Callithrix jacchus: one gene and its partner. The protein of the gene in region 2 interacts with the protein of the main gene of each other region in a biochemical or structural test. Links are inferred from orthologs where the notes say so. Each region holds a gene or a part of one and is shown on either strand. Other genes may lie near its edges.

Evidence for each region.
Region 1: the proteins of CDC25B (region 2) and YWHAB form a complex in vitro, tested with the Homo sapiens proteins (2 studies listed by BioGRID). The link is inferred for Callithrix jacchus from reciprocal best matches to the Homo sapiens genes CDC25B and YWHAB.

Annotation. Positions count from the first base shown.
Region 1 is NC_133506.1:40,262,081-40,265,726, reverse strand, and holds part of YWHAB (14-3-3 protein beta/alpha), read right to left. Parts: coding exon 3,589-3,646; intron 1,500-3,588; coding exon 1,376-1,499; intron 510-1,375; coding exon 346-509; intron 1-345. UniProt on the Homo sapiens protein: Adapter protein implicated in the regulation of a large spectrum of both general and specialized signaling pathways. Binds to a large number of partners, usually by recognition of a phosphoserine or phosphothreonine motif.
Region 2 is NC_133506.1:11,323,099-11,327,303, forward strand, and holds the start of CDC25B (M-phase inducer phosphatase 2), read left to right. Parts: upstream 1-1,384; 5' UTR 1,385-2,181; coding exon 2,182-2,381; intron 2,382-3,269; coding exon 3,270-3,415; intron 3,416-3,981; coding exon 3,982-4,033; intron 4,034-4,205. UniProt on the Homo sapiens protein: Tyrosine protein phosphatase which functions as a dosage-dependent inducer of mitotic progression. Directly dephosphorylates CDK1 and stimulates its kinase activity.

The sequences.
Region 1 (3,646 bases), about 29 Mb from region 2:
AGGCAGAGGATGCAGTAAGACAAGACGCACCACTGCACTCTAGCCTGGACAACAAGAGCAAAACTCCATCTCAAAAAAAAAAAAAAGAAACAACAAACTACATTCACCTGGAACTTTCTACAACCACCTCCCCCAAAAATAGTAATCAAACAAAAGTCAGCAGAAGGTATTGAGAATGAATTTAAAAAAGTAACAGATCTGTATTTATCTCATAAAAGATACACTCCCATCCCCAGAAAAGTTTTCAAAAAAGTCCAAGATAATGAGTATGTTCAGGAATTAAAAGAAGTTAATAACACAAGCATTGTTTTGCTATGGTCAGAAATCACAAAGGGTCTTTCTCACCGTTTTTGCCAGGCTGCAGGCCTTTTCAGGAGAGTTGAGAATCTCATAGTAAAAGACTGAGAAATTAAGTGCCAGACCAAGTCGAATTGGGTGTGTAGGCTGCATTTCTTTCTTACTAATTTCAAATGCTTCCTGGTAAGCCTGCTGGGAGTTCGACACAGTGGCTGTAAGATAAAGATGCAAATATTTAAGGCTTGGTTCTTTCACAGATATCACACACTGGACCAACTATCAAATTATTTTCTTAATCCCAAATTGGGCAAGAGCAATGACCTATCAAATGAGGTATCAGTGTCTCTGCCAGTCAATTTTACATTTGTTAGATATTTATTCTAAACCAAGTTGTAGATTAAATGCTTGGGGGAAAAACAATTATGATAAAGTCTACGAAAGCATTTAAGAAATATAGATATAACCTTTAACAATATAGAATGTGAAAAACAATATGCTCTAGTGCAAAGATCACAGGCTTTAGATTTAGAGTTAATAGATCCAAACTTTAATTCCCAACTCTTATTCCCAAGTCTGTGGCTAGGGGCAACTAAAAACCTCCATAAAGCTCAGTTTATCAGAAAAATGGGCAGACTGCCATTTAATTCGTATGGTTGTACGAAGAATAAGTGAGACTCAAAAGTACTTGGCACATAGGCACTTGATAAAGTGTGGTTATGATTATCACCATCATAGTAAAACGTGTGATAAAAGAAATGCATCACTATGGTAGTTTCATACCATCAAGTATTTTAAAGTTTCACCACTAAAAAGAGAGCTAACAAATAACCCTCAAGATAAAAATTTTTTTAAATATACTACGCACCAGATTTTTAATGCCCTCCATATTTCCCTGTCAGATAAATATTTATTTGCCCACCCATCACCCCCATTCATCACAATGCTGTGGTCTTTTAAATTCTTAGTACTGCAGCGTTGGTGTCTATGGCAAACAGACAAAGCAAAAACTGTTAAAATTTCCTGTGAAAGCAGACTGGTTCCATTACTGATCAAATTTCTTTTTAAAGGTATTACTTACTTTGTTTGTTGTCTCCAGATGCCACTTCAGAAAGATACCTAAAATAATCTCCTTTCATTTTCAAGTAGAACACCTTACTTTCTGGTTGTGTAGCATTGGGAATAAGATATTTGTCCAACAGCTCCTAAAAAATGATTCACATTGTTGAGAATTTAGAATTATTCACAGGATGTTTAAAAACTATGTTTGAGATTCAAAATACACTACTGCTTCTAAATAATTTTTTAGAAGATAAAAAAAACATCAATTTTTTTCATCCAAGCTACTAAATGTTGTTTAGCCCAGGTCATAATAGCAGATGCCTGTATGCTTCTGTTAAAAATCACTTTGACCATCCATAGAGGATAATTAAAGTACAGCCATACAATGAAATGCTTTGTAGGCCTTTAAAATGATGCAGAACTGCACAGATAATGGAAAGCTCTCCAAAGAAATCTGAGTGAAAAAAAACAGATTATAAATACCACAAGAATCCTATTTTAACAATAAGATACCTATGTGTACATGCTCACAAATACCTAAGGAAAAAGCCTGGAAGGAGGATGTTAATAATGGTTCTCTGGGGGGTAAGATTAGAAGTGATTTTTACTTTCTTATTTATATTCCTCTGATTTGTCCTCCCCACCCTTTTTAAACCCATAAACTTGTATTACTTCTATAATTAGAGGGGGAAAAAGTATTTCCCTGGGAGTAAAAAGGTGGTAACAGAGCAAAACTGCCAAGAACTAAGTTTAGAATCATTCTGACCTGGGTAGAAATCCCTCTTCTGTCACTTATCTGTATGACTCTGGACAAATTACCTAATCACCTTGAGCCTCAGTTTCCTAAGCTATACGAGGGATCATCTTCTAGGGTATAGCCATAAGTTGACATACATAAAGCGCTTAACACGTTGCCTGGCACGTAGTAAGCACTCAAAGAGTAGCTAATACTATTAATAATAAATTCCTTTAAACATGTATGCTTACAACAAAAGTAGTTCTGAAGGAGTCCAAGCTTCGTATACAGAGCAATATTTTCGAAGAGTTGTTTTAGAATGTGGCATCCTGAAAAACTGGTTAAGAGGCAGTAAGTACCAAGCTCTTCTTCACCTTCTTTCAGATGCTCTTAAAAGTTGGTCTACATTTCATGAATTATGGACTTTCTTGCCCTTGGAATGCATGACATACTTCATCTGAATACCAGATGTACCTAACATTCAGGAATTAGTGCACCATTAACAAACCCCCAAATTACCAACAGGCAACAAATTTAGCCATGACACTCTTATGCCATGAGTCTAATAAAAACAGAAGCTCAATGCAAAGCTTACTTATAAAGGGATTTAATCAACCAAAGTGAGAAGACGCAAGGGGCAGTAGTCATTTTTTAATATTCTTTGTAGAGAGACAGTGTGTAACTCCTAATGAGTTAGGGACGAGGGGTGCTTCCTGATGGCTGACAAGCTTTGTACTGGTTTTCAAAAGAAAGGAGTCATGGGCAATAATTTGGAAAGGCAGACAGCAGGGGAGGAGGTAGATCCCCAAGTATGAATTCCTTTTCCCTTTTCAAAGCAGCCCTCACTCTTCATTTTTACCTGATTTCAATTGGAAGAAAAATGTTCCCAATGGGCTCAGGATGTGGGGGAAAGACAATACGACTGTGATTTGATTTAGAGTATGTACCTCTCCCATTCAATCTCAAGTGGTGGCCAGAGTGAATCAATCATCTGACTAAGGTGTATGGTAAAACACAGGAGAGAATCTCCAAACCACTTTGAATTTGGCTCTGGAATACAGGCTCAACTTGATGGATGTGCCCAACTTTCAGACCAAAGCAGGACTTACAGCCCAGCCTTTTTATCTCCCTCCGCTACTGGAGATGACATCACTACTCGGACTAATATATACAATAGCCTATCTGTGGCTGTATCTATTAAAATCCTGTCTATCTGGCCTCAATTTAAAAAGATGGAGGGAGGCTGAATAAATGTTACTGTTTTTTCACAGGTCTTTTTGACAGGAGAGGAAAATATCTCAGAAGTGATGTATCAGAACCTCTGATCAGGCAACAGGTGACAAAAATTACTGTATGCTTAAAAATTAGTTGTAAATGGCTGGCAGCTTTCCAGTATATTCAGACACCTCTCTCTCATAAGCTGTTTTGAGAATCTGCATTTATCCATTAATACTATTTAGAAACCACTGTTCGAAACAGAAGCACTGGCCTCTTACCAGAACGTCATTGCAGATGTCCTGCAGTTCCGCCTCTATCTTCTCACGGTACTCTTTG
Region 2 (4,205 bases):
GTGAGGCTGAGGTGGGTGGATCACCTGAGGTCAGGAGTTCGAGACCAGCCTCGCCAACATGATGAAACCCCGTCTCTATTAAAAATACAAAAATTAGCCGGGCATAGTGGCAGCTGCCTGTAATCCCAGCTACTCAGGAGGCTGAGGCAGGCGAATCACTTGAACCTGGAAGATGGAGGTTACAGTGAGCCTCGATCCTGCAGCTGCACTCCAGCCTGGGCAACAGAGAGAGACTCTTTCTCAAAAAAAAAAAAAAAAAGGCAACGACAACAAAACATAAAAATCCCAGAACCCCTCTGTGGTCTTGCCACCTCCCCCTGGCCCAGAGGTGACCTGACTGTGGGATTTCAAGGGATTCAACATACAATGCCTGCCCTGACACACACACCCTGTGCAGATGTATATTGGCTGGGTGGGGATGAGGGGCATACCTGATCTTGAAAATGCAAACTTCGGAGTGGTTTTATTTCTTGTTTTGGGGGTGGGTGGCCTCACAAGGGTACTTCCCCCTTCCATCCTAGCACTGAGGGTAGTCACGTCCTCACTGGGAGTGGTGGCTGGAGGTCCGGGGCATGACCCCTGACCTAGGGAGGATGAACCAGAAGTTGAGACCTGGAACACAGCACAGGAGCTGAGCAAAATGTGGAGAAAAGGAAAGGTCAGGGTTCCCACCTTGGCCACCCTTCTCAGGTGGGGCTAGGATCTTCCCTTCCCCTTCACATGAATTGGCCCACCCAGCCCCCCATCTTACAGGCCTTCCCTTTTGCCACCCCCATCCAATTTGCCTTGGGTCCGGGAGGCTGGGACTGCACGAGAAGGGGCGCTCCTGCCTTCCTGAACTTCAGCCTTTCCATCCCCCCGCACCTCCGCCCACCCAGCCAGAGGCCACCTCTAACCCCGGGAGACGAAATGAAATGCGAAAGCTGCTTACTAGCCACTGGTTTTCGGGTGCAGCCTTCAGACCCCCCCGTTCCAGGAGGCCTGGAAAACGGGCGGGGCTGGAAGGCATTTAGATAATTGGAAGATGCTCGGCTTAAACGAATGATAAATTCAGCCTCTCTGGTCTGGTCATCAAATAAACACCAATTAAATAATATGGTGCCATTGGCACCAAGTTAGCCAAACCATCAAGGGACGTGATACTTAACTCGCTTCTCTGGCCGCTGACACCCTCCTCGACCCCCAGCCTCGGAAAGCCATGTCTAGTCCCACCGTTTAGTGGGACTACTGGGGCTGCCGCGAAAATTGAATCTGTTGGGGTAACATCTAACCTGGAGTACCCCGAAAGCTCCCGTCGGTTCCGCTTGGGGGCCCCACTCCCCTCCCACCTCCTACGCTAGGCGCTCTGCCTGCGAATGACTTTTTGTTGCTGCTCAGCGCAGCCAGGCGCGGGGGCGGGGAGGCTGCCGGGTCGGAGGCCCAGGCATTGGGCGAATCCTGTCCCACGGCCTGCCAACCGCGAGACCTTGAAGGAGTTAATGAACTTCACACCTCAACGTCCAGGTCTGTAAAATGGGATACCTAACGCAGACAGCACAGCGCAGCTGGGTTTAGCAAATTTCCGGGAGCCGGTTTAGCAAACTCCCGGTCCCTAGCTGTGATCCCAGGTGACGATAAGCTGCAGGGGGTCCTGCGGAGGCCACCCTAGGGCGCTGCTGCCGACTTTGGAATGTGGAATTCCAAACCATGTCGCGAGAGGCGGATTTCAGGAGGCCAGGATCCTCGCCCCAGGGTGATGTGCGGGGGTGTGGGATAAACCCTAATTCCTCTGGCCCACCCAAAGCCTGGAAATCCAGCCTCCGCGCCTCCAGCCCCGCGGGCCCCGCCCTCGATCCCGCCCTCCTCTAACCCGCTACCCCATTGGTGGCGTCCAGCGGCGCGGCCGCTGTTATTTTTCGAATATATAAGGAGGTGGAAGTGGCAGCTGCAACTAGAGGCTTTCCAGGCTGGTGCCTGAGCCCTGCGTCCCTCACACCCCACCCTCCCCGCATCCCTCTTCTCCCTCGCGCCCGGTCCTGTGGCTCTCCCTCCCTTCCTCCCTCCCTCCCTCTCTCCCTCTCTCCCTTCCTTCCCCCCCGCCACCCCGCGCCCGCTGCTTCCCTCGGCCCAGCCAGCTGTCCCGGCGTCTGTTGGAGGCCCTGCGCTTGGCCCTCCAACCAGCCTTCTGCCGGCCCCGGGGCGATGGAGGTGCCCCAGCCCGAGCCCGCGCCAGGCTCGGCTCTCAGTCCAGCCGGCGTGCGCGGTGGCGCCCAGCGTCCTGGCCACCTCCCGGGCCTCCTGCTGGGACCTCAGGGGCTCCTAGGGTCCCCAGTGCGCGCGGCCGTTTCCTCGCCGGTCACCACCCTCACCCAGACCATGCACGACCTCGCCGGGCTCGGCAGGTAGGACACCCCAAGGAGGCTGGATATGGGAGTGAGAGGCCCGGACTGGAGTCCTGGGCCTCCTGGAGAACTGAGCATGGTATCCTAATCCAGGAGGTGGAGTCCGGGGGAGGCGTCCTGGGCAGTGGAGAGGTACGCTCTTGTCCCTTTATGGGGCCCAGGACATGGGAGGTGAGACCTGGGCTGTGCCTCCCACACCCTCCAGGTGACCTGCTCTTGGTCCGCACAAGCCTGCCCGAGTCTTCTTTCCCCTCACTCCCTCCTACCTCACTGTGCCTCCACCACGCTGCCTCCCTAATCTCTACCCAAATAGCCACCTGTTTTGCCTCAGGATGGGAATCCCAAGCCTGGAGGGGGGAACTTGAGTGTGGCAGAGCCATGGAGCACTCACACATCCATGCCCCTGCTCCCTCCACCCTAGTTCTGTGCTCAGAGTTAAGGCAATTACGTATACACTGATCGCGCTTCCTAAGTCTGCAAGGGGAGAGCTGGGTTGTCCCAGTAGGAGAACCTGGTCTTGTTCCATCCTTCAGGAAGGGTCCTGGAAAGGTGGGGGTCTGACAGTTTAGGGGAAGGCCCTCCGGGGCAGCTCTGCTAGACCACCAACCCCTAAGATCGCCTCCAGCCAGGCTGCCTTACTCACACCCTGGGCTCACCTGGTTTAGGAGGACATGTCCTAAACCAGTCAACAAAGAGAAGCTGCTTTGGGGCCTCTGTAGAATGAGCCTGCCTTGACCTGAGAAGAGGGCCGGCCCTTGGGGCCATCACTTTCCCGGTGTAGTGTTTCGCTCAGTTCTTTTCTCAGCGAGTGAGTGGGAACTCAGGCCAGCAAAGCCTTGAGCCCCACATTTACCTTTCTCCTTTCCTGGGTCCCTGTTCCCTTCCCAGCGAAACCCCAGAGAGTCAGGTAGGGAGCCTACTCTTCCGTAGCCGCGGCCGGCTGACATGCCTACCCCTGTCAAGACGGGCATCTGAATCCTCCCTGTCGTCTGAATCCTCCCTGTCGTCTGAATCCTCTGAATCTTCTGATGCAGGTGAGGCCCAGTGGGGGCTGGGGAGGTCTGCCAGTGCCAGGAGAGTTTTCGGGGGCTGCCTGGGCCTCCCGATTTCCCTGCCGATCAAACTAACATCCTCCCTACAACCTGGTGGGCCCAGGAGCCGCTCCCCGACCCTCCACAGAGATGGGAGGAAGGCGTGCCTCTGGTGGGGCTCACCACACCCAACGCAGACTGGCTGAGTGGGTGGGAGGGTGGGGCCCTCCATGGGAGATGAGATCTCACCTATGGAAAAAACCAGGCACCAAAGTTAACCACAGCCCTACCTGGGAAGCACTCAGGACTGAGAGTTGGTCTTTAGAACCTTCTTATTCTATAACCTCTTCTTTGAAAAGCTGCTGTCTCATAGTAAACCGGGAGTGGAACCCTGTACTATTTGGGGAATAATGTGTCAGCCCTCAGGGTCCATGGTTGGGTTTTTGTTTCATTTTCTAATGTGTCAAAGTCCAAACTAGACACGGGTTTTTTCTTCTTATTGAGACATAGTGGGGGAAAGTATACAGAAAGTGCCACAACCCTCAAACCAAGGTGCTCCATCCCCTCAGGTCTCTGCATGGACTCCCCCAGCCCTATGGACCCCCAGATGGCGGAGCAGACGTGAGTATTGAAGGGAATGACTACCACCAAGCAGTCAGCACCTGCCTTTGAGAATCCCAGTTCTAGCAGGAACTCACCAGGGAGGCCTGGGAAAGCAGACAGACCATGGGGTGCCTTCAGGATCTCCGTGGGCGGGGGGACTCGCTGACCTTCTCAGGCCTTGGGATTCTGC